Drosophila melanogaster: one gene and its partners. The protein of the gene in region 3 interacts with the protein of the main gene of each other region in a pairwise test. Each region holds a gene or a part of one and is shown on either strand. Other genes may lie near its edges.

Region 1 (9,976 bases), on a different chromosome or scaffold from region 3:
TTTTATGTCTATAAGTTTAAATAATAATAAACAATCTCATTTTAAATTAAATGTTTATCTCTGTTATGGGATATTTGACTTTCCAAAATTCAAGGGACTAGTGCAATACGGTTGGGACATTTTTGATCTGAGACATAAAATGGCCAACATGTCGTATAAGCTATTTTTAAAACATTGAGATAAGAATAACACTTGTGTTCTCATAAGTGGGTCATAATAATTTTTGGTATAAAATCAAAAAGCAAAATAATGTATCGTTCCTAAAAAAAATTAAAGAGAATATGTAAGACATGTTTTGAATCTGACATATGTAATGGATCGTTTTTTATTTATTTAGGTGCATTATCTCCAATTGACAATATCACAATTTTTAATTTATTAATGAGAAAAGAAAGAAAACGGATATGCGTACCTAATAAGTTGACCATCAAAGAAATTCTCAAGTTGGAAGGTATGTTACAGAATACATTCAGCAGGAAAACAGAAAAGGTATTCGCTCAAAAGTAGGCAGTGCCGTATTCAAAGCTCCTCTTGAAAATAAACAGATCGTAAATCCTCGAACAGATGAAAATAAAAATTCTGTTGCTAGATAAAGGAAGACCCGACATATATACAAATGTACATTCAAGATTGTTATCGGCTACACCTGAAAGTATGCAGGGGAAATCTTATCTCCTCTACCCATTATCTTGGCACTTGAAAACTTGTTTAACTATTTTCCTTCTGGGCTATTCTGTTTCGAAAATCCTTGTGAAATTCAAAGTTTCCGACTGATTATTATAAATACGTAGAACGTTAAATACTAGGAAATAAAAAACGAAACCATTGTAAGTCTGTAAATAGCTTAACTATCCGGCTCAACTATGCAAATGGATGGACGGCAGATGGATTTATGGGCTGTGAAGTAGATTAGTTTGACGCGAGCACGAGAGCGATCTTTAGACGCCACGTCAGCACCATTCGGCATGAATTACGGCGGGCACACTTACATCATATATAGGAACGTGCACCGATTTGCGAGATGTGGGGGTGTTATCTCACCCTGTCAAGTGTCGCGCTCCGAGATCTGCTTCTATCTAGTCAGCTTTAGATACTCACGAATCTCTGTCGTATGAATCGAAATCCACGGGCAGCAGCTACGTAATTGTCTGAGCCAGCTTGCTTTACGGCTACCATAATGTGGGATCTGTTGTCGGCGAGATTGCGTCTTCCGGCTGCCTATAAATGGGGCCTTCGACTGGACCAAGTGATCCAGAACACAAGTCGAGCATCATCATGGTGGAGCAGGGCAAGGAAGACGCTACCGAATTTCATCCGGCGCCAGAGTGGCTAGATGAAACCTACTTGGAGCGACTGCTCCGGGATTTGAAGAATGATCCGGGACTGAGGATCACCGATTTGGTGATCAAGCCCGCCACTGCCAAGGGTGACAATTATGCTAGTGTGATGACACGCGTGCGGATTTTGTTCTTGAAAAGTGGCGCCAAAAGCCCCGAGACTGAATACTATATTGTGAAGACCACCTATGAGAACGATGCCTTCGCCTCTGGAATATTTTCCCAGTACCAGGTTAGCACCACGGAAATGCGTATGTACGAGAAGATCCTGCCCCAATTGAGCTCGCTCATCGAGAAGACTCGCCAGCCGGAAAAGGTTTTCGCCAAGACATTGCATGTGGACTACGAGCACGAGGCCATCATCTTTGAGGACCTTGCGGTGACGAAATATGTCCTGGCCGATCGTCTGGTTGGTTTCGATCTGGAGCACACCCGCTTGGGACTCCGAAAGCTGGCCAAGATGCATGCGGCCGCTGCTGTTCTGAACGAACGTCAACCCGGATTGCTGACCAAGTTCGATCACGGCATCTTCAATCGCCACACCCAGGCCTTTGCACCCTTCTTTGTGAATACGGTGGGCGTGGCGGCTGACTTTGCCAGGGAGTGTCCCGAATTGGGTGAGCGGTATGCTACCAAATTGAAGAAGCTGCAGGAACGTGTAATGGAGTACTCCACAAGAGTTTACGATCCCCAACCGGGAGATTTTAATACATTGGTGCACGGTGACTACTGGGTGAACAATGTGATGTTGCGCTACGGCGAAAATAAGGAGCCACTGGACATGACTCTCATCGACTTCCAATTCTGCAGTTGGTCCTCGCCGGCGGTGGATCTGCACTACTTCTTCAACACTTCGGTGCAGGTCGATATTCGCTACGAACAGCAGGATGCCCTGTTTCAGTATTATCACACGGTGCTCGTGGAAACGCTTAAGGATCTCAACTTTGGTGGCTACATTCCCACATTGAGGCAGTTCGTCCTGCAGCTCGAAAGGGGCAGATTCTTTGGTGAGTCCCATCTGGAATGATTTTCAAAAACCCATTATAATTGTTTATATTATTGTATCTAACAGCTGTCACAGTCGCTCTGGTCTGCCAGGCCATATTGACCAATGACCAAAACGCCGATGCCGACTTTAATGCTTTGATGAAGGATGACGAACGAGGCCGTAACTTCCGGAAGGTATTGTACACCAACAAGAGGTTGCAGGACAATCTCAAACGCGAGCTGCCACGCTTCGATCGGAGTGGTCTACTAGACGTAATTGACTGAATGGAAGCCATCATATACTACGAGTATTTGATAAAAAATAAAAACAAATTTTATTTTGAAGTTAAAACCATATGAAAAGCAGTTCATTTTTATTGCAAGTTGGTAAGCAATAAGATTAGAAATAGAACACACAATGGTTCTATTGTAAATGTTTGTATTCATAAAACTATATTAAATGTGACGTTTTAAAGCAAACGATAAGCGGGCCAACGGTGCGTATGAGTTATAAGGGGGACGCAACAATTCACTTACAAGTTTTTTCCTCAGTAGTACACCTTGACTTGTTAAATACATTCGTATTCGTATTTATTTGTTGTAGGTAAATATTAGTTTCTTTTATTAGCTAAAACATCTGCGGCTTATCTTTTGGCGTATCGCGATTGTTTCTATTTCACCACGATTCAAGGGCTTGTAATTGTTATCTTCTGAGATTTTTAGTATTGCTTGCACCTTTTGTTTGTCAAGAGTTTAGCACTATCTTGCCGAAATAAACTCGAAAGCGCTATTATCAGTCATGAACACTGTATTTCATATAAAAAGGTCAGTTATTGCCGAATTACACACATAAAGTGCAATCAAGCTATTAGATAAGTATTTTCCCAGGAAATTAAAAGCAACGACGTAGTTGAGCCAATACGTAGTAGTACTTAAACTTTTATTTATTTTAACTATTTACACAAGTTCAAGATTATCATTACATGTCATCCAGCAATCCAAACTGATCCAGAAAAGGCAGTGTGACACTTAATTTCTTTTTTATATTTTCCGATTCATAAACTGAGTTCTTGAATCGCATTCCACTCTCGGAACTGGATAGGACCTGCTCAATAGAAGCATCCTCTTTGCCCTCGTACTGCATGACAGGCTCAAAAATCAAGGAACAGAATACGGCTGCGGATAAATTATTTAAAAAACTATTTTGAAAGAGAGTTAAGAACTGTACCCACCATAGAATCCTCTCGAGCGGAACTGCAGTTGGAAGTCGAACAAGCTGGGTATCCGACCAGCATATTTTAACTTCCTTAGGGCCTCCGTCAGCCTATAGTAATAAAACTGAACCAATTCTGTTTGATGTTCCAAGCGAAGATTATCCTGCAACGAGGTGGAGAAGAAGTAGTGGAGATCGATGGCCGGCGAGTTCCACACGCTGAACTGGAAGTCAATGAAGATGGCATTCGTGGGATGCTCTTTTGCATCGTACTGGAACATAAAGTTGGTGGTCCAAAGATCTCCATGGGCCAGAGTTAAAAAGTCGCCAGGACTACTAGTCGTCGATCTTTCGCCATAGTCCATCAAACGTTCCACAAGCCTGTCGATCTTGGCCTTGTACCGCTGTCCCAACTCCTCATCCGAAGCAAGGGAGCGGGACAGAGCCTCCAGAAGATTGGTCATGATCGGGGCGTATGCCCGGGTGTGTTTGTTGAAAAAGCCACGATCATAGTTCTTGTCGAAGATACCCGGCTGTCGCTCGGCGAGAACTGATGAAGCTGCATGAAAGAGGGCCAGTTTCTCCAGTACCAGGTGGGTGTGTTCTAGGTCCAGCTTCTTTCGACGGCATGCAACCTTGTAATGATCCAGTGACATGTCCTCGAAGATGATCGAGTCCCTTTCGCGGTCCACATTCATGGTGGCCGCAAAGAGCTTCCTGGAGTCTTTAAGCTCCTTCCTCACCATATCCGCCAGCTGGGGAAGGATGTGCTCGTATATATCCATTTCACGGGTGTAGACACCATAGTGGATGAGCACATCGCCGGCTGGATCCCGGTCAGCGAATGTGGTCTTAACCAGAAATGTGGTGGACTGTTTCCCTTTCGATACCTTGGTCGTGTACTCCACATTGATGCGGGTCATCACGCTGCCGTAGTTTCCTCCATTGGCCACGGCTGGCTTTGTATCCAACGTCGCCAGCTTCAGTGAGCTATCCTTGAAGTAGGTGCGCAACTTATCCTGCACATATTCCGAGGTGAGCCAAACTGGCGCTGGGTGAACTTTGTGGGTAGATTTCTCAGTCATGATCCTATCCGTAACTCAGGGCTTTCGCTTCTGCGACATTGCGAACGGAGTCCGACCACTTTTATAGCCAACTTTAGTGTATATATGATAAGTTTAGTGCAAGTATCTCGTGGCAACTGGCTTCGTCATGGACAAACAACACTTGAACAATTTCGAGTCTGGTCGAACGCTCACGTTTTTTGCAATGCACTTTTTATTAAGTATTCCTGGTAACCAAAATTTCGCAACTTATCACCATATACAGATTCATCGCAACAAATTTATAATTAATTCATTTTGTTTTACATTTCCCAAAGAAGAGAAATACAACTTAATATTTTTTATTGTTTGTTATCGAATATCGTAAAAAGTAAGTGAATTAATTTAGTGGGTTGCCTTGATAGTTTTTCCAAGAATTCCCCCGTATCGTCGTCTGTAGCTAATTTTAATGTCAATATCAACAAAAACAATTAGAAAACTTTTTAATACGGATTTTGTCCCGTTTTCATGTTTTCTAAACATTTACCTACAATTAGCACCTGTGAATTGTCATTCATAAGTGCATACACAATTAATAAAAGTTAGTAATAGCAGGGAAAGTAATCGAAATTATTTTGTATTTATTATATTTTATAAGCAAATATAAAATCTATAATTACGATAATAATATTACTATTTTCGCTTTACATCACGTCTAGTAAACCCAAATGATCAAGAAAGGGCAAAGTGAGACGCATCTTTTTCCTGGTCTCCTCCGCCTGAAATGCGTCATCCTTAAAGCGCATTCCCTTCTCCGAAAGGGATATTATCTGATCCATTGATGCCTCTTCCTTGCCCGTGTACGTCATCGTTGGTTCAAAGATCAGTGATGCGAAGGCAGCTGAATGATAACATAAATGAATATAAATTCCTTAACCAGGCACGTTAGTATACCCACCATAGAAGGATCTGTTCCTGAACTGCTGATGGAAGACGAATAGGCTCGGAACATTTCCGGAATACTGGACTTTCTTCAAGGCAGCATTCAGTTTGTAATAGTAGAACTGGACCAGCTCTGGCTGTTTCTTCAGTCGAATATCAGCCTGCAAGGCCGTTGAAAAGAAGTAGTGTAGATCGATGGCCGGCGAGTTCCAAGCACTGAACTGAAAGTCGATAAAGATGGCATTTATGGGATGTCCTTTGTCGTCGTATTGGAACATAATATTGGTGGTCCAGAGATCCCCGTGAGCCAGGGTCAAAAAGTCACCGGGAACAATGGTCGTCGATCGTTCTCCGTACTCCATTACGTTCTCCACCAGTCGATCGATCTTTGCCTGGTAACGCTGACACAGATCCGGCTCCAGCTCCAGGGATCGGGACAAAGCCATCAAAAGATTCTTCATGATGGGCTCGTAGCCGCGGGTATGCTGGTTAAAGAATCCACGATCGAAATTCTTCGCAAAGATTCCAGGCTGGCGCTCAGCCAAGGCTGCTCCGGCAGCATGGAAATTGGCCAGCTTCTCGAGTACCAGATGAGTGTGCTCCAGATCCAGTTTCTTGAGCCGATCGGCCACTCTGTAATTCTCCAGGGACATATCCTCGAAGATGATCGAGTCCCGTTTCCGATCAACATAAACAGTGCCTGCAAATAGTTTCCGGGAATCTGCCAGCTCATTTCGCACCACTTCCGCCATCTGGGGCAGGATGCGCTCATACAGATCCAATTCCCTGTTGTACACTCCGTAGCTCAGGAGAACCTGCGCCGCCGGACCTGCGTCGGCAAATCTGGTGGAATCTGGTGGATTGTTTATCCTTTGATTTATCCGTCGTATACTCCACATAGATGCGAGTTATCACGCTTGAGTAGTTCTCCCCGTTGCCAAGGGCCAGCTTGATGTCCAGGTTCACCAGGCGGAGGGAGTCATTTCTAAAGTAGGAACGCAGCTTCTGCTCCACATAGTCGCGAGTGAGCCAAGCGGGCACCACTTGTGCGCTTCTATTGATTTCCTGGTGATCAACACTGCGGATTTTTCATCGGTGGGGTTCCGCTTTTATACCTCGTCGGTTAGGTAAGTACACATTTATTATTCAAGTCTTATCTATCATTCTATCTGACATTCCTGTTATCTTTCAATTCAACCATTTGAATTAGCTATTAGAAATCGTCATTGAGCTTATTACATACATATCCATTTGATGCCAGCGAACTACTAGAAATTTCTAAACAATTAATTGCTAAAAATAACGAAACTATTTTTAAGCTAAATTTCTAGGTAGATAGCAGTGATAATTTGATTAATTGACTTATACTGATAAGGAGCATTTATTTATTGTGTGGAGCATTTTCTTACATTTCGTCTAGTAAGCCCAGTTGATCAAGGAACGGCAGAGTCAGGTGCAACTTTTTTAGGTTCTCCTCCGTCTGATACACTGCATCCCTCAGTCGCACGCCCTTCTCATCGCTGGTCATGAACTGCTCTATGGACGGCTCCTCCTTGCCATTGTAGACCATAGTGGGCTCAAAAATCAACGACGCAAACACAGCTGAGTAAAATAAAGAAATTAAAAATTGTATAACATTTTATATACTTCGCAAACTTACCATAAAAACCTTTGGTCCGAAACTGCTGTTGGAACTCAAATAAACTCGGAACCTTACCCGAATATTTCACCCTTTCTAGAGCCACCACTAGTTTATAGAAGTAGAACTGGACCAGCTCGGTCTGACGCTCCAGACGAAGGTTTTCGTGGATCGAGGTTGAGAAAAAGTATTGCAGATCGATGGCCGGAGAATTCCAAACGCTGAACTGGAAATCAATGAAGATGGCATTAACTGGATGACCTTCGTCATCGTACTGGAACATGACATTGGTTGTCCAAATATCTCCATGGGCCAGAGTCACAAAATCGCCGGGAGCGACAGATGTCGATCTTTCGCCGTAGTCCATTACATTATCAATTAACCTGTCAATCTTCGCCTGGTATCGCTCCTTTAGATCCGGACTCAAATCGAGGGTACGCGACAAGGCCTTAAGGATATTTTTCATGATGGGCTCGTAGCCTCGTACATGTTTGTTAAAGAATCCACGGTCGTAGTTCTTTTCAAAGATTCCCGGTTGCCGCTGAGCCAGAGCTGCCCCCGCTGCATGGAAATCTGCCAGTTTCTCAAGAACCAGATAAGTGTGCTCCAGATCCAGTTTCTTCACCCTGCACGCAACCTTATACCTCTCCAGCGAAAGGTCCTCGAACATAATCGAGTCCCGCTCACGATCTACACCCACAGTAGCTGCAAACAGCTTCCGAGAATCGTGGAGCTCATTCTTCACTATATCCGCCAATCGGGGCAGTATCTGCTCGTACATGTCGATCTCCCTGGTGTAAATGCCGTAGTTGATGAGCAAATGGGCCGCCGGGTCTTTGTCGGCGAAGGTCGTCTTCAGCAGAAAGGTTGCGGACTGGTTATCCTTTGAATCCTTCGTAATGTACTCCACACTGATGCGGGTCATCACGCTGGCGTAGTTCTCTCCATTCGCTGTCGCCGGCTTGATCGTCAGTTTCTTCAGATTCAAGGTGTCATTCTTAAAGTAGACTCTTAACTTTTTCTCCACGTACTCCTCTGTCAGCCACGCGGGCGCATTGTGGGTCGTTTTCTCCGGCATAATGTTGAAATTCTACTAGCTTTCGTCAGAGGTGGGCATGGCTTTTATACACTGACGAGATGCTCATGATTAGATGAGACGGCACAGAGCGTATCTCATGAGTCGTAAGCTCCTTAATTGCCGGCAATTGAAAAGATAGGCGACAGCACATCTGAAAAAATTTATTAGGATAGGGCTCTGCACTGTGTGAAAGATCATAGAATAGCGACTGTTGTTCAGCTAGGCTAACTAGCTAGACCAACTTATAAGTAAAAAAAATAAAACTTCACATATCGTCTAACAACCCCTGCTGATCCAGAAACGGCAGAGTGAGTAGCATTTTTTCTCGGATGTGGTCAGCATGATACACAGAATCTCTGAACCGGACTCCACTGGCGGCAGTGGACAATCCTTGTGCAATAGACGCTTCCTCAGTTCCGGTGTAAAGCATGCAGGGCTCGGAAATCAGTGAGCAGAAAACAGCTAAAAGAATTTCTTAAATTAAAATTTATTTTCACTATAACTTGCATATACTTACCATAGAAAGATCTAGCCCTAAACTGCAGTTGAAATTCAAATAAGCTCGGAATACGACGCGAATACTGTAGTTTCTTCAGAGATTCCACCAGCCTGTAGTAATAAAACTGGACCAATTCAGGCTGATGTTTCCAGCGAAGATGGTCCTGGATCGAAGTGGAGAAGAAGTAGTGCAAATCGATGGCCGGAGAGTTCCACACACTGAACTGAAAATCAATTAGGACGGCATTGATGGGATGACCCTGTTCGTCGTACTGAAACATCACATTTGTTGTCTAAAGATCCCCGTGGGCTAGGGTTAGGAAATCTCCTGGATTGGTCAATGTCGATCGATCGCCGTAATCCATTATTGTATCCACTAGCCGGTCTATCTTGCTCTGATAACGATCGTTTAAATACAAATTCAGCTCCAGGGAGCGAGATAGAGCCTGTAGTAGGTTCCTAAAGATTGGCTGAAAGCCTCGAAAATGTTTGTTAAAGAATCCTCGATCGTAGTTCTTCTCAAAGATTCCAGGCTTTCGCTCGGCAAGAACTGCTGCAGCTGCATGGAAATCAGCCAGTTTCTCCAGGACCAGATGTGTGTGCTCCAAATCCAGTTTTTTAAGCCGGCAAGCGACTTTGTAGTCCTCCAACGACAGGTCCTCAAAAAGGATTGAGTCCCGCTCGCGATCTACATTGACGGTAGCTGCAAACATCTTTCGGGAATCCTCGAGCTCGCCCCTCACCATTCTGGCCAGGTTGGTTGTTGTTGGTACATGTCCATTTCTCTGATGGAAACCCCGTAGCCGGCCAGTATATTGGCTGCCGGATCCTTGGCGGCAAAGGTGGTTTTCAGTAGGAAAGTAGCGCTCTGAGTGTCCTTTGAATCCTTTGTGCTGTACTCCAGATTGATGCGGGTCATCACACTGGCGTAATTATCTCCTTTTGATGTAGCCGGCTCAGTCTCTAGTTTCTTCAACTGTAGAGAGTCGTCTTCAAAATATCTGCATAACTTATACTCCACATATTCCTTTGTGAGCCATTCAGGATCGGTATGGGTATTTTTTTCTGACATTATGGATCCGAACGTTAGCGCTATAGTTTAAGCAGTGAAGACAGTTTGCGATATTTCCCAAAGTCTTATCATCTTAATTACGACTAACTACGCTAATCCCTCTGGTTAGGGGCCCCCAATAAAATCGTAAAGTACATTTTATTCAGAGTGTTAGCATTCTTCTTACT
Region 2 (11,374 bases), 1.1 Mb from region 3:
CTTCAGTTGTGCGCTAAACTTTGCAAACGTCGGGCCAAATTCTGTCCGCCGATCTCAGTTCTTTCGAATAGCAAATTTTCACAAATGGAGTCAATTAGCAGCATGATTTATTTAGTGGCCATGATGTCATTGATCATCGGTGGCAGCCAAGCGATTCCTTATCGACGTACGATTTTTCCAAATAACACATATATTTTCCAGTAATATACGTTGATTTTCCCTTTCACCCTATAGCCTCGGCGTATCTGTACAATCAGCAGTACTGTATGGATACATTGACGGGTCGGCAGCTTTATATCGGTGAAGTCTTCACGCGAGAGGATCAGTGCGTCCGCATCCAATGCCTGGAAACGCTGCAACTCTGGGAGGATAGGTAAGCGTGCCGTACTAGTATGCCATAGCATCGGGTAACAGATCATCGTACTCATCCATGGTCCAGCTGCCAGGTGCCGAAACTGACGCAGGGCAATTGCACGCCAGTTCCATCGACGAACCCGCATGCCGAATATCCCCGATGCTGCCCACTGTATGAGTGCAAGAGCTACGAGTCGAATTCGGGGGGAACTCTGGAGCAGACCAACATATATGACCACTATGGTACTCTGCGATCATCCCATCTCACTGAGATGATAGTGATCGACGGGCGGACACCCCCTCGTGGCGAGATTCACACGGCGTCGGCGAGGAAGTATCAGGTGTGAGAAGTGAACTGGTACTCTGTTCCTAGGACTACTTAGTCTTTAGTGCAGATCTAATGTGTACAAATACAAATGGAGTTTATTGCGGAATACTTGAATATGTTAAATAAATTTAAATTTCACATTTTTTTTGTCTAAAGAAGTGTATTTTTTCCACTGTACTCGCTATTCAAACTTGGCGCCCTATCGATAGCATTGCTTAGCTTATCAAATAAATTATCTCAGACAACGGGCTACGATTTGAATTCCTTACTTCAGGATCGTTGAGTTTATATTTCTATTTATTTTCTCGGGATTTTCAATATTATATTTTAGCATAATATCGATATTAGCGGTATTTGTGGCCGTCTGCGATAGGCATTTAGTTATCACGTAGCCAGACATCGAATAACGATTGCACCACTTATCGATAATAAAGCACAAGAGACAGTAAAATATTTAACAATTTCTACGAATCAACAAATTATAAAGCCGCAGTGAGCAATTAAAATCAGTTGGAAGAAACGCTAGTGCCCCACATAGGAATCCGAATCAAGCAGCACTTACCGAAGGACAACCAATTGCCCTCTAACCGAATTTCACCACAACAACACAATGTTGCTGCGTCTAGCACTTTCCACCGCCCGTCCAGCCGGGGCTATCAAGATCCTGGCCCAGTCTCCGGCCCAGCTGTTCCGGGCCAATGCCAATCCCAATCTGAATCTCTCCACGGTGCGCACCTACGCCCGCAGGGTGGTTCGCACCCGTGAGCCCGTCGAAGAGATGCGTGCTCCCTCGCTGAAGGAGAAACTGATGGGTCCGCCAAGTGCCAATGGTAAGTCTCTTGTGTAATCCCCCATCTATGTATATCGGTCGTCTAATTGTACTCTTCTGGCGTGCAGCATACTCCATGGGCAAGGGCGCTGCCGCCGGAGCAGCCGCCGTGGGATTGGGCGCCCTGTGCTACTACGGCGTGGGATTGGGAAAACAAACCAGCATCGCGGATAATGCCATGTGAGTGATAGCACGAGTCTCTCACTTGCGAAATACAGGGACTTTAATAACTGAGATTATATTTTCCGTTTAGCATGTGGCCCCAGTTTGTGCGCGATCGTATCCAGAGCACCTATGCCTTTTTCGGTGGCTCTTGCGTTCTCACCGCGGCCGCAGCAGCAGCCACCTTCCGTTCGCACCGTCTCCTGGAGCTGGCCTCGCGTGGCGGCATCTTGGTGAGTCCTCTTGCACAATTCGTAGTTCTTGCCGCCTACCTGACCAACAGACACAACAGAACATAACACTTCCTCTTCATTTGCCTTTAATCGCTTAGGCGACCATTGCTTCGCTGGCGCTGGTCATTGGTAGTGGAGCAGTTGCCCGCTCGATTGAGTACCAGCCGGGTCTGGGAGCCAAGCATCTGGCCTGGGCGGTGCACTGCGCCATTCTGGGCGCCGTGATCGCACCCATTTGCTTCATGGGCGGACCGATTTTGACGCGCGCCGCTCTCTACACGGGCGGCATTGTTGGTGGCTTGTCCACGATCGCCGCGTGTGCACCCAGCGATAAGTTCCTCTACATGGGCGGCCCACTGGCCATTGGCTTGGGCGTGGTGTTCGCCTCCTCGCTGGCATCCATGTGGCTGCCGCCCACCACGGCGCTGGGCGCAGGTGAGTTGCCAGAAAGTTCCACTGGGGCTAGCACCACTTCGCATTATATTTTATGAATTGTCAAGCGGAGTTAACCCATTCAACTCTCTTTTCGCAGGTCTGGCCTCCATGTCCCTATATGGCGGCCTCGTCCTCTTCAGTGGCTTCCTGCTCTATGACACTCAGCGCATGGTCCGTCGCGCTGAGGTCTATCCCCAGTACAGCTACACTCCCTACGATCCAATCAACGCGTAAGTTCACTCCTCATCCATACCGTGCTCTGAAACTCTATACTTTTTGGTTCTATCTTTTAGCTCAATGTCGATCTACATGGACGTGCTGAACATATTCATCCGCATCGTTACCATTCTGAGTGGTGGTCAGCGCAGGAAGTGAGCACTGGAGACGAACATGTGATGCGAGGATTATACCCTCTAAAATATACATACATATTTATACTGTTATTAAAATAAACCGATCGAGTTAGGAAGCAAAATGTACGAACTTTGTGTTTCAATTTGGCTAATTTCAATTAGTGTCTTAATACACTCCAGACCTAGAAATTAAATAATATATTGTCCATATATTATATACAATCTCTAAAAAGAAAGCATTTTTTAAGATCAATTTAAAATGTTAGTCAATTTTAAGCTTGATAGCGATAAATGTAGCTAGCTTTTAACCGATATTTATAGCAGTTGGGTTCGTTGTTATCGATAGCTTAATTACTTTTATTACGGATCGTTTGCCGTATTACCTAATTAGTTAGAAATTTACCTCGTGCAATATTTGTTATTGGTCGTACAGAAGCTCTGTTTTTTTTTTTTTAATTCAAAAACCGATGGCAAAGTGAAATTGGGCTCTAGGGATGTATCGATATGCAATCGATGTTTCATTCAGCTTTTTTCGACAGGACCTAAGCATTCCTGTCAAGAATTGTTTAAATATTTCGAGTCGAGCCGGTCGACAGTTCGAAAATAAGTTCTCCCGCAGAAGCGCCAAGATTCCGGATTTTAGGTGGCTGTGAGAAAAACACCCACGCCGACTTTCCACTTCATAGACACACTTGACAAACATTCTCGTCCCTGCAAACACACACAACTCGTATTTCGGTGATAATACAACAAAAGTTAGCCAAATACTGCATATATTTAATTTTCTGGTCAATCCGCAGCTTCGTCCCATTGCCAGAAGGTGCTCGACGAAGTCACGACTGCCATTTCCACCTGAGACAGGTGAGTGTTTGAGGAGGAGGAGGTGGTGGCTGCCAGACGCCCGACCGCGCCCTTAAAGCCGGCAAATCGATTTCCTAACTTGCACTCACCACATACCGCATGTTTGCACGATTTCAGCTGGTGCCATTGCAAGTCGTCCAGTGGAAGAGGCAGACGTCAAGCAGACCGGCCAACTGACCATCGATCCTGGCCAGGAGTTTGCCATGGAACGCCGCTACCTGAAGAATCCCTTTCCCGATTTCGCCGGCGGGGAGAATACACCTTTCGCCAGCGACGAGGAGCACATCAAAAATCTGATTTGCACCTATGTGGACGCCATACTGGAGCACTGTCATCCGAACAGCGATGATGAGGACAATCGCGGTGATCTGTATGTGGGCAATGCCGGCATAGCCTTCATGTTCTGGAAGCTCAACAGCTGCGAGCAGACACGCGATCTCTATCCGGCACTGGATCACGCGGCCTCCTTCATCCGCAATGCCAAGGTGAATGCCAATCGGTACAAGAAGCGCTCCGCCGAGCGCTACTCCTTTCTGTGCGGCAATGCTGGTATCTATGCCGTCTCGGCAGCCATATCGCAGGCGCTCAAGGAGACCGAGGAGCTTTCCGACGACTTGGCCAACTTCAAGTCGGGCATCCCGTGCAGCAAGGAGTTCATGCACACCAAATACGGCTGCGATGAGGTGCTGGTTGGACGTGCCGGCTATCTATCCGGTTGCTATTGGCTAAACGATGTACTGCCGGAGAAGAAGATCACCGACGATGACCTGGTATCCATATGCCAGCTAATCGTGACCAGCGGCCGCGAGTACAGCAAGCAGAACAACTCGCCGTGTCCGCTAATGTACCAATACCATGGCACGGAGTACCTGGGTGCGGCCCATGGCCTGTGCGCCATTCTGCACATGCTGTTGGACAGCCCGTGGTTCCGCACGCTTCCCATTTCGGCGCCGGCCGCCGAGTTGCGCGACATCAAGCGCTCGATTGACTTCTTTCTGGAGCTGCAGGACAGCGATGGCAACTTTCCGGTGGCCCTGGAGGATCTGCGCTCCGGCAGGGATAAGCGTCTGGTGCACTGGTGCCATGGGGCACCCGGCGCCGTTTATGTGCTGGCCAAGGCCTATCTGATCTTCAAGGAGGAGAAGTACTTGGCCTCGCTGCGTCGCTGTGCGGATATGGTGTGGAAGAAGGGCTTCCTGCGCAAGGGACCGGGCATCTGCCATGGCGTCGCCGGCAATGGCTATGTCTTCCTGCTCCTGTTCCGCCTGACCAACGAGATGAGGTACCTGTACAGGGCGCACAAGTTTATGGAGCTGCTAACCAATGCCGAGTTCAAGCTGCGCGCCCGCACACCGGATCGTCCGCATAGCTTGTACGAGGGTGTGGCCGGCACCGTTTGCTACCTCGTGGATCTGCTCGAGCCGGAGCAGGCCTACTTTCCGTTCATGGATGTCTTTCACTAAACCCGTAGGCGGCGACCCACTCCACCTATTCAGCCCGACCAATGCTCAACACAACATACTTTCGAATCAGGGAGAGTTATCATCATTTCTAGTCACTTGTTTGCCGATTTTTCTCTCATTGTTGCCTTTGCGTTCACCCAGCGAACTGGGACGTTGGAGTGAAAGATGGAGAAGGATGCTAGGTGCTGCATAGATCCCAGGTCCCGATGGAGCCCGTATCCGATCTCTGAGCGCACCGCTTGCTGGAATGTTCTCAGTCATTCTCATATCAAAATTCTCTGTGCTTTACGCTAAGCAATTAACTTAATACATTGATACTTATACACAGACATATTACATATACATTATATTTATATACAATTTATAGTATATGTGTATATATATATATATACACTTCATATAATACATATATATATATACATATACATACTTGCGCTGACATCTTATATACAGACAAACATAATACTTACATGCATAGTGTGCTTTATACCTACGAGTAATCCACGACGAGCTCTCAATCTATTTGTCAATGAGAATGAAATAAATTATTGTACTATTTTATACGGATATGTACAATCCCGTGACCAGTTTCGATCCATCCCACCACGGCAATCGAATCCATGGTCATACGGGTAAATACCCCAAAAAAAATGACTCTTATTCAGATCCTTTGGCATGGTTAAGGTAAAGGAGGGAATCTATATATTATATATTTACTTTCAGGAACCTATAGCTTACCGATTCCTTGTACGGATTATTGCCAAGTTGCGGTTTTATTTATATTTGATTCACTATCTGCATTATCTTAAGTACTTTGGCTGATGTAAAAGCACGCTTATCGGATAGAAATTGATTGAAATCTGGTTTATTAGCGTCTTATAAACCTGATACGAATGAATATACATCTAATGGATTGCCTTGTGGCATTAAAGTAAGTTCCAATAATATGCGAATATTTCTAGGATAACGTATGTTAAGGGTCCGTATCGAGTGTAATCTAAACTAAACCTTGTAGTTCGCTAAAAAGGGAGGTTCCATCTACTTGTAATTTAACTAATTCGCTTTTGGCGCTATAAACCAAATTGATTGCCTGTTTATTACATGGCTGTGCGATGGCTGTCCAGATCCCACGCCCATATATATATTTTATTTTGGCCCAGAACGTAATAAACGATCGCTTGTAGGAGGAGGGTCACTCCACTCCACTTCATACCATACATCAAGTGCCGTGCATGTGTAACATGTGTCAGCAGTTGAGTATCACCGGAATAGCGACCGTCGTATCCGTTTGGCCATATCTCAGCCATACTGGCTTATCGGCGATCTATAGGTGCATATCATTAAGTGTGTTTTGATACCCAAGCAAGTGCCAGCAGTAAGGGGATATTTGTAGTCTATCCAGTTTGCTGGCCACTTGACAAAGAAAACGGGCAACGAGGCGTATGAGTAATGTGCACAAAACTCACATTGCAAACAAATTCCTCATTGTTTTGATTTGCTTAAAACAAAATCTTTTCAACTTGAAATTGCGGCTATCTTTCTTTATTACCATACCAAATGTTTTATCTAAACCGACTAAACCTGATTTGGTACACTGTAGTCAGGATACTAAAGTGTGCTACAGTGCAAAAAAACTTTGTAATTTAAAGAGGAAATTGTAAATAAAATCAATTCAAAGCTTATATTGTAAATTAGAAATAAAATTTTTGGTTTACCAGGAAAATCGAATTTTCAAGCATTAAAATATAAGTTATTGCCCTGCAATTGATTCTCTAACATCTTGTGGTTCCACATAGTCTCCGCTGCCATCAACGCCAACGAACGGTTAAGCGCGACATCGACACTTCTGCGCTGCGCCGCGGCCGACGCCTGCTGCGCCGCTGCCGACGACTTCACTTGATTGCTAGGGACTTAGGGAAACATTTTGTACGCTAGATTTAGTTTCAAATGATAAATTGCAATAAACGGTCGCTTGCGATCTTCAAAATCAAATCGATAACTGTAATTATTAACTGGCGCCCGAACAGGGACCAGCGAATAAACGCGAACGAAAGACAAAATTCTAAGTCGCGGAGCAAAATCAAAATTTTGCTAAAAAATATTCGTTGGTTAAATTGTGCCGAAGAAACTCCCGCGAGTTATTAACAAACAAAATTCACGGTCGGCTATAAAATAAAATTGTTTGAGAAAAAAACAGATTTTCCGGAAGAGGAAAATACTTATCGGCATAGCATTGCCCATTGGTGGATCACAGTTTCTGTCAGGCCAGCCCGCAGAAAACCTTCTTTGGAGTGCTGACGTGGATTCCCCAGTAGCCCAGGCAAAAAGGACAACATTCACCCAGCCAGGAGGAGTGACCGCAACAATTCTATGTTAAATAAATGCAAAACGAAGAACAGCAATTTCATCGAAAAGGAGAAGGAAAAGTAGAAGTAGAACGCCGAGAATAACGGAACTACAGAAGAGCAACACGGATAACAGTTAACAGTGCAACCCAAAACGTAACGGCAGAGGTAAAGACGACGAACGGCAGAGAACGGCTGCGTGAACCAAAGTGCAGACAAGAAGGAAAAAAAAAGAACAACAACAGCACAGCCGTAGCAGCAGCAGCAGCCCGCCAAAAAGAACAGGAATAAGAACACGTTGACGACGAAGAAGCTGAAGCTGAAACAACCGAAGAGGAGGCAGAGAGACTACAAGAACCTGGAAAGTACACTGGAAAAAACATCAGCAATTTGAAATTCAGGCATCCACCCATAATAAAACATAAGTATACCAAAAAAAAAAAAAAAAAAAAAAATTTTAAGTATATTATTATTATTATATTATTATTATAATATTATTATTATTATTATATTTTTATTATTATATTATTAGTATTATATTATTATTATTATATTATTATTATTATATTATTATTATTACATTATTATTATTATATTACTATTATTATTTTATTATTATTATTGATATTATTATTAATACTATATTTTCAACCCAGTTCCTAGAGATCTTCTGAAAGGAAAATTTTCCTATTTACTGTTCCTTTCTGGTACACTGTTCTCAAAGCAAAATAACCGCGGTGAGCTAAAATTTATTGCATGCAAAAATAAAAAAAAAAAAATATAAAAATAAAAAATAAAAAAACAAAAACAAAAGATAAATAAGCAAACACATACACACGCATTCCATATTTTCTGCCCACAACTTTTGTTAAGTTCAAATTGGTTTAGGCTTGTTTTGTGCAGGTGTTGTCCGAATTAAAAATCAGTATGGCAAATCCTAATAATATAATAAGACCATCAGCTTTTAGTTCAAACGAAAGACCGGTGCCCTCAGAAAGACACGACCTGCCTGAACAGCATCGCGTAGACATGAGTGTCGAACAGTTGACAGCATTAATTGGCCAAACGGTGGCCCAAGTTTTACCTGGATTGATAAAACAAATGAACAACAATACTCTTGACTTTACTGACGTGAGCGACCAGGTCGTCGAGCCCGAATACAGAAATAATTTAGCGGACTTTGACAGGGTGCCTGATATCGTAAAATCGATCAGGGAATTCTCTGGAAATCCAGCAGAATTCGGGTCTTGGAAAAAGAGCGTTGATAGAATCATGGAGACTTATACCCCATTTGTGGGTACTCCAAAATATTATGGTATACTTCATACCATAAGAAATAAAATTGTTGGAAGTGCTGATGTGGCACTCGAGTCCTACAGCATTCCGCTGGACTGGAAGGCCATGTCGAGATGTCTCACTCTGCATTACGCAGATAAACGGGACATAACTACCTTGGAATACCAAATGTCAACTTTGGTTCAAGGCCACCAGCAGTCGGTGGAAGACTTCCACCAAGACGTCTACAAAAATCTGTCGCTTATTCTAAATAAAGTCGGCTGCATGCAAATGAGCCGAGAATCCGAGCACTTTGTTACAAAAATGTACAGAGAAAAAGCTCTGGATACTTTTATCAGAGGCCTTCGAGGAGATTTACCTCGCCTTTTGGCAATAAAAGAGCCAGCTGATCTCCCCTCAGCTTTACATTATTGCCTTAAACTTGAAAATCAAACTTTCAGGTCAAACCATGCGGCGAATAAGGGTCAACAGTCGAGTTTCAGAGGAAACGAAAAACCCATTCCGGCACCCCGCAATTTTCAGCCGTCGAATGCCTTTGGCCATCGACAGCCTCCACCGGTCCCTCCACGACATCCCATGAGGAGACCTCCACAATATTTAGGCCAGCCATTCCCGGCGCCAAGGCAACACGTGTCTAACTTCGGTAATGCACCGTTCATTCCACCCCGACAAAACTATCAACAGCAATGGCAACAATACAATGCCCCACCCCGTCCCTTTGCGACCAAACCACAACCAAGACCAGAACCAATGGACGTGGACGGCAGTGTACAGACGCGAAACATTAATTATATGAATAGACCACACTCGGACATAAACAAACGACAAAAGAACTACAACATCCAAACAGTGAACATGAGACAGCCAAGTATTGAAGTAACTGGGTCCAGTTCAAGCATGACAGGCTATCAACGGTCGATGCAAGATTATGAAACCCAGAACAATATAAACGGCACACTAAATGAATACTGTGATGGACAAATAGACAATTTGGACAGCGAACAACGAGACCACGTGTTGCATTTTTTAGAGTAGAAGACTCCTCACTACCATACTTCGAATGTAGAGTGGGGAGTGGAAAGGTTTTAAGGGTGTTGATTGACACAGGCTCTAATAAAAATTACATCCGGCCCAATTTGGTGACGAACGCGATACCAAATAACAAGCCTTACATAGCTGATACTCCAGGCGGTGATGTAAAAATATCGCATTACAAAAGAGCAAGCCTTTTCGATTTCGAAATAAAATTTTTTTTGTTACCAACGCTGAAGACTTTTGACGCCATACTTGGCAAAGACACAATGAAGGGAATGGGAGCGCAAATTGATTTGAAGAACCTAACCATGACACTGGAAAACGGGAAAAGAGTTGTTCTCAAAGAAAAACAGTTCGAGGCTGTTAGCACAATTAGTCCGAGAATAAAACAGAGAATGATATTGAATAAAATAATTGATTCGTATCCAGGTCTCTTCGCAGACCCGAATCAAAAACTAACCTACACAACAAGTGTAAGGGCAGCAATCCGAACTATATCGGATACGCCAATATACTCAAAATTCTATCAGTACCCAATGTCTCTTAAAGACGAGGTACACAAACAAATTTCCGAACTTTTACACGATGGAATCATTCGACCCTCAAGGTCACCTTACAATTCACCAGTGTGGATTGTACCAAAAAAACTCGACTCCTCTGGCAAGAAAAAATACAGGGTGGTAATTGACTATCGAAAACTTAACATGGTAACGGTAGCGGACAGATACCCTATCCCTGACATTAATGAAGTGTTGGCCCAATTGGGAGACAACAAGATTTTCTCAGTGCTCGATCTGAAAAGTGGGTTTCATCAGATTCTTTTAAAGGAATCTGATATCGAAAAGACCGCCTTCTCCATCAATAATGGAAAATATGAGTTTACACGACTCCCATTCGGTCTGAAAAATGCACCGTCAATTTTCCAGCGCGCACTGGACGATATTCTTCACGAACATATCGGTAAGATATGTTTCATTTATATTGACGACATCATCATCTTTAGTAAAGATGATGAAACACATTACCAGAACCTTGACACTATTTTCAGAACTCTTCAGCAAGCCAACATGAAATGTCAGTTGGATAAATGCGAGTTCATGAAGAGAAAAGTGGAGTTCCTAGGCTTCGTCGTGTCCGACAAGGGCATTGAAACCAGCCCAACCAAGGTACAGGCAATCTCAGACTTTCCAATTCCAAGGACACTCAAAGAACTGAGATCATTCTTGGGATTATCCGGATATTACAGGCGATTTATTCCTAACTACGCTAAGTTAGCAAAACCACTTAGCTCGCTTTTGAGAGGGGAGGATGGTCGAATTTCCAGGACATTATCGTCAAAAAAATCCGTCTCCCTTAATCGCGAAGCAATAGAAGCCTTCAAGAAATTGAAGAGCAGCTTGGTTTCTCCAGACGTAATACTCCACTACCCGGACTTTAAGAAAGAATTTCACCTAACAACGGATGCTTCCAATTTCGCAGTAGGTGCTGTTCTTTCACAAGAGAACAGACCCATCTCATTTTTATCGAGAACACTCTCGAAGGCGGAAGAAAATTATGCCACGAATGAGAAGGAAATGTTAGCCATTATCTGGGCTCTAAAAAAGCTAAAAATTTACCTTTACGGTAAAGCAAAGGTGAAAATCTTTACTGACCATCAGCCTTTGACCCATTCTCTCAGTA
Region 3 (11,087 bases):
TTGCGATTGACGTTTTACTTGTCGCACAATGCGGCGTATGCGTGATATGTGTACAGGAGCGCGAAGAGAGGAAGTTGTGCAGTGGTTCAGTGGTGCAGCAGCAGCAGCAGCAGGGGGTGGTGGTTACATAAGCGGAAAGTCAGTCACTAGGTAGTAGACGTGCACTTGGCTAGGAATCAAAACTATTTTTACTCGAGTAGGGTGTAAGCTTTAAGTGGCATAAAGTGCTATTAAACATAGGTATAATATACCTATTATATACCTTAAATCGTGTTTTTCAAGAGTGTCCAAAAGAATATATTTCCAACTTAATAGATCCAAGTACAATGGACTATGAACAGTGAAGATATTTCGGAGTCGACTTCGTTTCCTCCGATTGTTGTTATATCATTTTTGCCACGTGCGGAATGCCAAAGGAAGCCAGCAAGCAAGCCAAACGATACGAATCGAATGCAATCGAATTGAAGCAGACAGACAGACAGAAAGAGGCAAGCAAATAAAAATACAAGTAAAGTGGCAACAATGAAGATATCATTGCAGTTGACATCGCAAAGAAAATTGTCCACAGCTTCGCTTATTTATACACATTTTTCTTCGATTTTCACCGATTTTTTCCAGCCGCATCTCTTCTTGAGAGCTAGTTCAATCGCCATTGTCATCGTCTCGTTAAATGATTTATGGCGCAAGGCATGTCAACACGCCGAGATGAACATCAGCATCGACTACGACTGAGCTAAATATATATAAGTATATATATACACATCGACTACGACTACGACTACGACTTCGACTTCGACTTCGACTTCATTAACGTATCAGCGTTTTGTGGGCTAAATTTTGACCCAGTTTTGGCTCTCAACCACATAGCCAAATTGGGCAACAACAAATGCTTACCGTTTTGTGTAACATTTGCTTTTCGGTTGGAAGTTTTTATTTTTATTCATTTTTTGGCCCATTCAGCAGATGTTCAAAGATTTTATTGTAAACTGCGTGGGTGCAGGCATTTAAAATATATATATATATATTTAGTGGTGCATGGTATCACAGCTTAAAGTTTCCTCATACTTTGTTAAGCAATTTAGTAAGCCGTTTAAATGGTCTCTCGTTAAAAAAGATAGGCACGTAATGGGCAGCTTTTAGCATATCATTTGCATATTATTTTATGGTAAAGTTTAAGAACTATTATTTAAATATATCACTGCTGTTGCGTAAATACATTGCTATACAATATAGTTTTTAGCTCCCACTTAAGATAAATACCAATTGCTACTTCTTAAAAACGGCTTTTGTGCATAACCGCTTTTGGTTTCACAAATAAAAAAAAAACACAAAAAACAAATTTAATTAACTTGTTAAGTGGCCATTTATTTGCTAATGCTTCCTTTCAGTTCTGTAATATTTAAATACCAGGATCAACAATACTACTTTATACCAGGAAAAACGAACTTGCAAGTTTTATTTATGGTTTTCACATGCACATAAAAGTAATTGCACGCCAGCTTTGATTGACAAATATTGCGACGTTGATTATATTCATATATTTTTGATCTTTTTGTTGTTGCCACACAGCCTTTGGGCCATGTGGAGTTTTCAACGATTTCGGAGATTTGTGCAAATTTGTTGCACAAAGTGAAAGCCATAATATGACATAAAACAATGCTAAAAACTGGCCAGCTCTCTGGACGAATAGTTTCGGCTAACAAATTAGCAGGGGGCTGGGTGTACGGGGTGCTAATTGCCGACACAGTGATACAATGATCCCCAACGATGATCGAATGGCATGGGTATGGGAATACTACGAATACGAATGGGAATTTGTGGGGAACTATCTCGCCGCTCGGCAATTAAGTAATAAAATAGCAGAGCTGCAGGGGCTTGCTCAACTCAACTGGCAAAGAGTCCGGTTTTTTTTTTGGCCAGGCCAACACCCAGCTGAGGCTCAACACATCAAAAAAAAAAAAAAAATGCATAGGCAATCGGCAGCTAAGGAAACAGGTACCAAGTGTGCCAACTTCCTTGGAACTGGTACTGGTCTGCTCTCCAAGAGATCGCAGCTCTGATCCAGTCACGCAGGTTGGACGGGCCCAGAGACCCCGAGACCCGAATTGGCCAGGCCAAAAGCCGCATAGCCAAAAACCAAAACCAAAACCGAAAAGTAAAAGGAAGTTTTCGCCGACTGGGCGACAAACATGTTTGGCCGCTTCCTCCCCCTTCCGTAAAAAAAAGCAGCCCAATCCAAGTGCAAATTTGTCAAGCAAATATGGTCGAAAGGGCAACTGAGGCGGCAGCACGCGCTGCTACTCTGCGCCAACTGAATGCTAGCGAGAGTCGCTTCAAGAGTTCCAGCACATTTGCCATTAACTTGAGCACTTGACCAATTAGGTTTATGGTCTTCAATTGTTTTATTACAGCATGTCCATGTTTAATAGATCTTTTACGATTTCATAAATAAATAGTCAAACGACCTTGTTGTTTATTTTGAAACCACCCCTGCCTGAGAAAAGAGTCTATGAAAGCTTTGAATAATATTTGTTTTACACACTCGCTTGTTTGATTTTTGGCTACTTTATCACTTTCTTGATACACTCAGCAAGGTAAATATTTATTCTGTATTAAGCTTCTCTAAATAAATTGATAGCTTTATTATGAATTTTAGCACGAGCAGAAAATTTGTTAATGCATGATCGTAATTCAGAGATTTTAAACCCGAAAATATACCAATTTAAGGCTATCAAACGCATTGAGCTCATTCAGAATATAACCACAAAAGTGTTAAGAATTATGATGGACTCACCTTGCCATTGGCAAGCGGGATTTGGAGGACGTCCAGCTCGGAATTACCGTTGGCGGGCTGCGGTAGCGGTACGGCGCTGATGAGGCAGGCGGCGCTGCCGAGGATCAGGAGCGCCAGGATGTGCTGTCTACTTGGCTGCCTCATGCTGTTTTTGTCGCGTGCGCGTGTGTGTTTGTGTGTGTGTGAGCGGGACGTGGGAGTGTGTGGGTGTGCTGGAACGAGATAACATGCTAATTAATGATAATGCAGAGACCAAAGATGGCAACAAACTATGCATAAAGGTCAGCGGGCGGTGACCTTCTGTTATCGCGCGCGTTTCTTACACCTTTGAAATCGGAAATATATATATATATATATAAGATAAATAAAACGGAATCGAAGCCGAATAAAAAACGAACATCTTGTTTGATTTCGAGTCTGTGGTTTTGGTTAATCTTTTTTTTTTTTCCAACCGTTTGTTTGGCTTGCTGGCTATTCTCTGGCCACCAAGGTCTTCGAAACGATGCGGATGCTAACGATAACTGTCAATAGGCGATGGCCAATGGCCAATGGCCAACTATGGCGGTGGTTTGGTCAAGTTTAAATATTGGACATTTCTTGGGCAACTCGGCGTATGAGTAATGCCAGCAGTATTAGTGTGCTGCAACGGCGAGCAATTTTTAAATCACAACAAAAAAAATTATGTAATTTTTTTTTTTTCAACTTTTTATATTTGGCCAGCAGCAGCAGCAACCAGTATTTGTGTGTCTGTTTTATTTTTTGTGCAATTTCTACGGCCAAAGCTTTTTAAAGCTGGGCTTTTGTTAAAAAAGAAATTGAATAAGGCCCAGTGAAAGAGGGAGAGAGAGAGAGAGAGGGAAAGATAGCGTTAGAGAGGGAGGGAAGCACACAGGTGCGAAAAGCAAGGCATCAGTCGTAATTACACACAAAAATGTGAGAAACTGCATTAAAAACAAACCAATCTCGAAGCTCTAATTGAAGAAAGGCAGCGGCGTGGAGAGCGCGAGGGGTATAATTTCTTTGGTCAACAGCTATGCAAAATTATGAGTCATCGCGAACCTAATGAGAGAAACTAAGTACATAGTAAGGGAAACCGTAAATTAGAATCGCTGATTGCCTTATTAGACTTTGACACGAATGTGAGATGACATTGCGAGCTCAAAGGTTAAGGCTTTGCCAATTGGAGATCAGCTGGTGAAAAGTTGAATAACAGATGGAAATACGTCGCCAACAGGTAAATACTAAGTCAATTATAATCGGTAAAAGCAAAACAAGGTTCTCAATTGTACTGCCTAATAAAATGAATCACCCCTGGGATTAGGGAACTTAAGCTCTATTTCTTTGGAAAACACTATAAAAAGTTAAACAAATCCCATCTAATTCCATTTCGATCATGCTAGTTATGATAAACCATTATATTAATATGAGAAATATAACAAGCAGCATATTTATAAAGAACATGCAAAAACATCTGCAAATTTAGTGGCAAAACTATATAACCTAAAACTCGGCAACACCCATTTAAAAAATCATAATAAATGTATTCGGGGAAACTCCGAATGCTCAAGACGTTAAGTCATCTTCGGCTGAGGCATGCAAGAAATGAACTTGAAAGCGTATTTTGGGCCGTTTTGTTTTGGCCGCCTTTGCTGCTGTTATGTTTTTGTTTTGCTGTCAATCAGGCAATCACACCAGCAATTTGGCAATACAAAAGCGTCGAGAAAGGGGGAACTTCAAAACTGGGGATTGCCACCTCGAGGCGAACATGCAACGCTGATGGTCCGGTCATCGTCATCGTCATCGCCATCGTCTTCTTCTTCTTCATTGCTGGCCCGTCTTAACTTGGCCCGAAGTCTGCTGGCTGTTAAAGTAGGGCGTAAGCGCCAAAATCCAAAAAAAAATCCGACGAAGGCGACCACAACAGAAAAGCAAAAGAGAAAGAGTGAAAACCGGCAACAACAGAGCTCCACCAGATGTTATGTCATCTTTGGGCCTGTTGCTTTTACTTTCAAGCTCTCCTTCTCTTTCTCTTTCTCTCTCGCTCTCTCTCTATCTCTCTCTCTATCTCTTTCACACTCTTTCTCTCCCTCTCTTTCACTCGCTTGCCCTGAGCTGATCCATTTGCTTCTAACAATTGTCCGAAAAGTGATCAGTGATCAACAACGTGACTTGACATCTACCATTCGGTTTATTTTTTGTATTTTTGCATACGGAACTTGGGGCTTTTATGATTACGACTCACTGGCAATTGCACAAATATCATAAAACTCATAAAAACGAAAAATCCGCATCTGGCATTGAGTGCATGCTTCGGCATGGACATGTCGTAATTAAAAGGCAAAGCCCCCAAAACACAACAGCGATAATCAAGGCTTGAGTGGGATTTCGGATATATGAGGGATTTCGAAATATAATTTAAGCCAAGTGACTGGGTGTTTTCAAAAAAACAAAAAAAGAAAAAAAACTGAAGTAGTGCACTTCCTGTGTCTCACAGTTTGCAATTAAAATTCGCCCTTGCGAAGTTTGGGTTCAGGGAAACGGTGCGTATGCGTGATATTTTCACAGGGGAGTGTGAAACTTTGGTAGTTCCTAGTAGCTTATTTTCCAAAAACTATCTAAAGAGGGTAGCTCAGAAAATTCTAAATAAGTTTATTTATTCTACTGTTTGGAGTGGGGGGTTAAATAAGAAAAATTCCAAATAAATTCTGGAAAACTCGAAGACAAATTTTTTGAAGTCCCCATATTTTAATAAGCATCTTATTTTCTACAGATATAAGAATAATATTCAACCGGCTTGTCAATATTCTCCCTGAAGATATCTGTTCCACTTAAGTACCCGCCAAATAAAGCCCCTCGCCAATCGATTTCAGCACTGCACACGAAACCTCTCGAAACGCAATTTGGAAATTGGCAATCAAAAACGTTTTTGTGTTAACCAACTCGCATTAATTGGGCAATCCAAGCAAGGTAAATGAATGCAGCAAATGAGAAATGAGACAAAACCGAAAATAGTTCAGCACACGCGTCAGGTATTTATATGTTTTTGTGATTTTTTCGGTGTGTTTTTTTCTTTTTTTTTTTTTTTTTTGGTTACTTTCAGTTATTTCGTATTATTGTTCACAAGCCAAGTGTTCTTTAAAAATTGTTAAGCACAGCAAAAAAAATTGGAAAAAAATATAATATAATGTTTTTGTTTAAGGTTTTTTCAATCCGAGTTTTGGTGGTTTACTTTTTGTGTTATATCCTCGCGAATATAGTTTGTTCTTTGCGATTTTTATTTTTTAGCACATCACATTGTTGTTGGTGGGGATACATACGCGTTTTGGCCAAAATGTAAACAGCCCAAAAAAAAATTATATATATTTCTTTTTTGTCTAAAAAAGAAACAGCAACAATTGCGTGGATCGGTGGATCAGTGGATCGTGGATCGGTGGTGCGACTGACTGCGACTGCTTCTCTTTGTGGTCTGGGCTGTTGGGCCTGCAATTGATTACTAACGTGATTTTATCACACACAAGCGACTAAAGCTCGAGACAAAGCGCGCCGTGTACGCCGGCAGCGGCGTTGGCAGCGGCGCCTCTGAAAAAACGCCCGCCGTACCGCCTCCGTACCGCTTGAGCCGCCTCAAGTCCAAGTCGAGCCGCTCGAGTTCCGCTCGAAACGAAAACGAAAGTGAGCGCCAAAAGTCAAGCTTGAGTCGCTCGTGAGCTTGACCAGGCTTTTTGAGTGGTTTCCACTGGCGTTTCATTATTATTTTTACTCGTTTTCATTTTTATTTTTTACGAGTAACTCCTGCTGTTTGTTTTTTGTATTTGTTGTATCTTTTGTATTTTTCCCATTTTTTCGACAAGACGATTACGCGAAAAGTTTCCGCCTCGTGAGTGCCAGCTTCAGTTTGTCAGTTTGTCAATCTCCATCAGCTGGCTCAGTTTGTCAGTGGGCCGTGGCCAGGATTAGAGCCAGTTTTATTTTCGCCTTTTTATTTTTATTTTTACTTATTTTTTTCTTTTACTTTTTTTTTCGTATTTTTAGTTTAGTGGCTTACACAACCTCCTGTGCAGCTGCGCATCTTGAAGATGCATTTTTATTGCCGCTTCCCTGCGATACCAAATAATCGTTGGAGTTGCATTTATCGATATTGCCAGTCGCTACAATCGGACACTTCAATTTGATTCGATTTGATTGCAGTGCCCATTACCATTCCGCATTCCGAAAGTTAGGCAGAAAACAAATAAAGCAACAGATGTCTTTGGCTTGAAATGGAAAATTTTATGAAAATTGCCAGCCAAGTCGTGGGGTTAATGGAAGTCGTGACATCGCCGCACCACTATTCAGAATATTTCGAGTTACTATTTAGAGGTACTTAAAATGTATGAGTTCTTAAAACATTGCTAGTTTCTATGATAAAGAAATAAAGTTCAGTTGGGGAAACAAAACATACCTTTAATGTCTTATTTAAATGCTAATGGGGAAGAATATGTATTTTAAAATGTATAAAACGCTGAAGTTTAAGCATTGACAATTTAATGTATTTATTTTCCCAGACACTGTACAATAGTTCTGCTGAAAATAACTTTAAGCACATATAACTGCCATTTTTAAACACATACTTTTCATATTATAGAAATATTATATTATTATTATTGTTAACTAAAAATTTGTTCAACTCCTGTCAATGTTTCAAGCGCTTTAAGGGTTCAATTAAGTTCACTGAACTTGGTCTTTGGTCCACAAAATTCTATGAAGTGTTCCACCACTTAGCGCTTCGAGGGTCTAACTGGGCCCAAAAGGTTGGCCACAAAATTTCCGCACTGTCATGCTGGCCATGCACTTTGGCCAAAAGCCACTCGATAATAATCAGAAGCAGAAACCTTCGGCCAGCCACAAAAGCGCGAAGGAAAAAAAAAAAATAAAGAAACTCAAAATCGAATACTGACCAACCGCAAGACAATGTCGCCGATCTGTGGTTAGCGACAGTTATGCGTTGTTCTTGAATGATCGATCATGGTGATAATGATCGTTGTTGTGGCCATAATCACGGTGGAGATGAAGATGTAGCGTTCATATGACCTTCTGTAGAATCAGAACTGACAGCAGCCAGTCGGCTGTGGACGACATTTTTGATAGTTTTCAGCACGCAAGTGAATGGAATTTCAGCTCCTAGGCTACAGTGAGGCCTGGCTAAGGATGCTACGAATTCTGCGACACTTTTGGTATCTTAAAACAGTAGAGGAATGGGTTACAAGACTTAAAAAATTAATTGCTTATTGCGTATACTAGAAAATTGCATATATGAATATTTTGCCATTTTAGTTGTTATGCCTAATTTCCTCTGCCAGTTTTTATTATATTAGACATAAACTAGTCTACCAGGTATGATTATTTGTATTATTTTTTTAATATAGAGACCACTGTGCTGGCAGTGTGAACCGGAAGCTAGTGCTCAATGCGACTCGATTCGAATCGTTTCCATTGGATTCGATTTACTTCGATTTGATTATTGGTTCGAGCATCGCTCTTTTATTTGGTTTTTATATATGATTTTCCATTTTTTATTTTTTTTTTTGGACTGGGCAACCGCATTACCTTCGGCGGCGGACTGTCGCCGCTCTGAAGGATAACCGGTAACCGGTAGGCGGCTTTTGTTTAGTTTTTTTTTTTTTTTGGCTGGCGTTGCCCTGGGTTAACGACCAACTGGCGCAAAAGTGTGGAAGTGCAGGCAGACATGCATGGCAGGCTACAAATTACGCATACGCCGCTTGGTACCGAGCCCAACTGGAGCTCAACTGGAGATACTGTATCTTGCCGATTGCAAAAGCAAGAGTAACAAATATAGCTAAAGCAAAGCAAAGCAATAGCAAATGCGAAGGCAGGCGAGCCAAAATCAGTCAGTCGGTCGGTCGACTAGTGAGACTCACTAAACTAACTCACTAAAAGTTGCATGCGTTCGAAATCAGTTTAAGGTGAATTAGATTTTGACACACATACAGCGACAGCGTTTTGCATAAACACAAAAAAATACGAAAATATACGAATATACGAATATACGAAAATTATGAAATTAGTCTCAGTGGCCTGGGTCGTTCGCTTTTGCGAAAAGCAAAAGCTGCCAAATCGAAAATGACAACGAAATTAGCTTTAATGGCCGGACTTCAGACTCTATTGTCTAGCTCTTCTTGTTGTTTTTGCGACTTTGCCACGCCCATATGGGCGTTCGCAATTTGCATAAGATGTTCTATTTGAACCCGAACACCAAAAGGGGCAACTGCTCAGCACGAGACTAAGCCAGAAGTTCTTAACTACTTAAGGTTCTGTTGAATTGCAGTTTTAAGTCTTAATTTACACACTTTTTTTTCCAGGAAAAGTAAGTTGAATTGCATATTTTGTATTCTAATAGATATTTGAGCAATAAATCCGACTTAGTACGCTTAGTGAAATAATAAAGTAAAATTACTCTGGCCATTTTGGTCCTCTTTTAATTCGCATGCAAACTCGAAGTTAACATATATGCAGAATTTGAATACCTCTGCCAAATGTTCCGACTTCTTTGGGGACCCTCATCGGCCCTGGAAAGCGACTATACTTGGTATACAAGAGGGCCAAAGTGGCGGAGCCCATTGTCCCTGCCATTGAACGGCAATTCATGGCGCATCAATTAATTCTGGCGACGTTGACATGGCTTTAAATCGAGCGACTTGCAGACGAAGCGATCCATTGGAGTGGCAATCGGGGGCTACACTGATAGATGGGGAGGGGGGGTCTATGGGGCTTTTGAGGGGTATATTGTGCAGATTACTGACAGTTCACTTTGCCGTGTGCCCAATGGTGCAATTAAATGTAAAGACATCGCCGAAGTCACTGCCATTGTTCGGTGTTTGTTTCTTGTTTCTTGTTGCCTGTTGCTGTTTCAGTTTCAGTTTTAATGGCAGCCCATAGACAATAACAAGGTTGGTCTACAGTTTTTGTGCTTCGTTTTCTTGGTACTCTTTGGATTTGATTTAATTGCCAGCGTTTTCGGACCATTACAGGGACTTAATTCTTCGATTTTATGAGTAATCCGGCAAATAGCTGTGCCGACGAGACCCTGAACGGGATGATGATCTACGATTCGGACTCTGACCCGGATTGTAGTCGTATCAATCGTCACGTTCCACGTTCCCAGTAAACACACAAAAAAAAAAAACGCCGAGTCTGAGCCTTGCATAAATTAGCGATTGCCAAAGTCTCTCGGCGTTTTTGTCTCAGTTTCTCAGCCTCCGTCGGTGACTAATTGCAAACAATTACTAATATTAAGTACGAGTGGTTGTCCGAGTGTTCAAATAATAAGAGATACAAAGTGTCCCAAATGCAAGCAGACAACTTGATTTCTGGCGTGAAAAGGAAGCTGTCACATTGGGAGATTGGGCCACGATTCAATCGATGATGGCGAATTTTAAATGCTCTGCAAGCCAACAAATAATCTTTGTTGATTAGTGAAAGTAGGGGGTAGACCAGATATTAATCCAAATATTTATTAACTTATATAGTATAAAAACTGGAAAATATATTAATGAACCTTCTAGAGTACTTCAACTCAACTTTTCCGATTTTGTTGTTCAAAATGGACTTTAAACTCATGGTCAAATAGTTATAAATCCGCAAATTCACAAATAGTTTAAATACATTCGGGAAGATGCTGATGTTGGACTTTCGGCAGGCAATGAGCTCATAAAGTTCACCATTATCCACTCAACCGCTTTGCGAATTCCGGCAGGGAAATGCAAGGGTGTGTGTGTGTGTCTATGTGCTTGGTATGAAAGGCAAAAATATCATAATGCATTTAAGCCAAGTTAACATGTTAACAATTCTGTGGCTGCGGCGGCTTTTGGTTTTGGCCGTCATTTTCAGTTGATTGGCAAACCGAACGTGGTGGCCCACCGAAAAAAAAGAGAAGAGATAAAATTAAAAAGTTTTGGCTAGACAGGGGCGGCGGTGGGTTACGGGGCGTGGTCCGGCAGTAGTGCTATGAAATGGCGACTCTGTAGTGTCATGATTTATCGGAGCTGCCTGGTTAACTTTTTGCCCTCAAAAATAAAAACAAAAACCAAAAGAAAAGTACGTGATATTGATCAGGTTAACTCAGGGGTTTTTTCCATATTTTTTCAAACAACATTTTGGTATTCAGTGACATCGAAAAACAAGAATATTACCCACAACTCTTTAACACCATGACTTGGCGGATATCAATCAGTCAGGCCTTCTGGCAGCTGTTGCCTAAATTTAGACTGTCTGGCTTTGATCGAAGTGATTGGCC

The links.
Region 1: the proteins of CG32694 (region 3) and CG11878 interact in a two-hybrid assay, tested with the Drosophila melanogaster proteins (one large-scale study listed by BioGRID).
Region 2: the proteins of CG32694 (region 3) and CG2061 interact in a two-hybrid assay, tested with the Drosophila melanogaster proteins (one large-scale study listed by BioGRID).

What each region holds. Positions count from the first base shown.
Region 1 is NT_033777.3:25,268,494-25,278,469, reverse strand, and holds CG11878 (uncharacterized protein), read right to left. Parts: upstream 4,634-9,976; 5' UTR 4,623-4,633; coding exon 3,557-4,622; intron 3,501-3,556; coding exon 3,304-3,500; 3' UTR 3,233-3,303; downstream 1-3,232. Other genes in the region: CG10513 (uncharacterized protein), read left to right, coding at 1,276-2,344, 2,410-2,609; CG11889 (uncharacterized protein), read right to left, coding at 6,928-7,124, 7,183-8,239.
Region 2 is NC_004354.4:11,089,287-11,100,660, forward strand, and holds CG2061 (uncharacterized protein), read left to right. Parts: upstream 1-3,205; 5' UTR 3,206-3,337; exon of another isoform or gene 3,338-3,494; 5' UTR 3,495-3,555; exon of another isoform or gene 3,556-3,672; 5' UTR 3,673-3,758; coding exon 3,759-5,018; 3' UTR 5,019-5,661; downstream 5,662-11,374. Other genes in the region: vago, read left to right, coding at 85-166, 235-373, 440-701; CG2076 (uncharacterized protein), read left to right, coding at 1,293-1,512, 1,580-1,691, 1,765-1,906, 2,005-2,341, 2,439-2,571, 2,635-2,716.
Region 3 is NC_004354.4:9,984,897-9,995,983, reverse strand, and holds the start of CG32694 (uncharacterized protein), read right to left. Parts: upstream 6,290-11,087; 5' UTR 6,112-6,289; exon of another isoform or gene 6,024-6,111; intron 3,007-6,023; 5' UTR 2,939-3,006; coding exon 2,795-2,938; intron 1-2,794.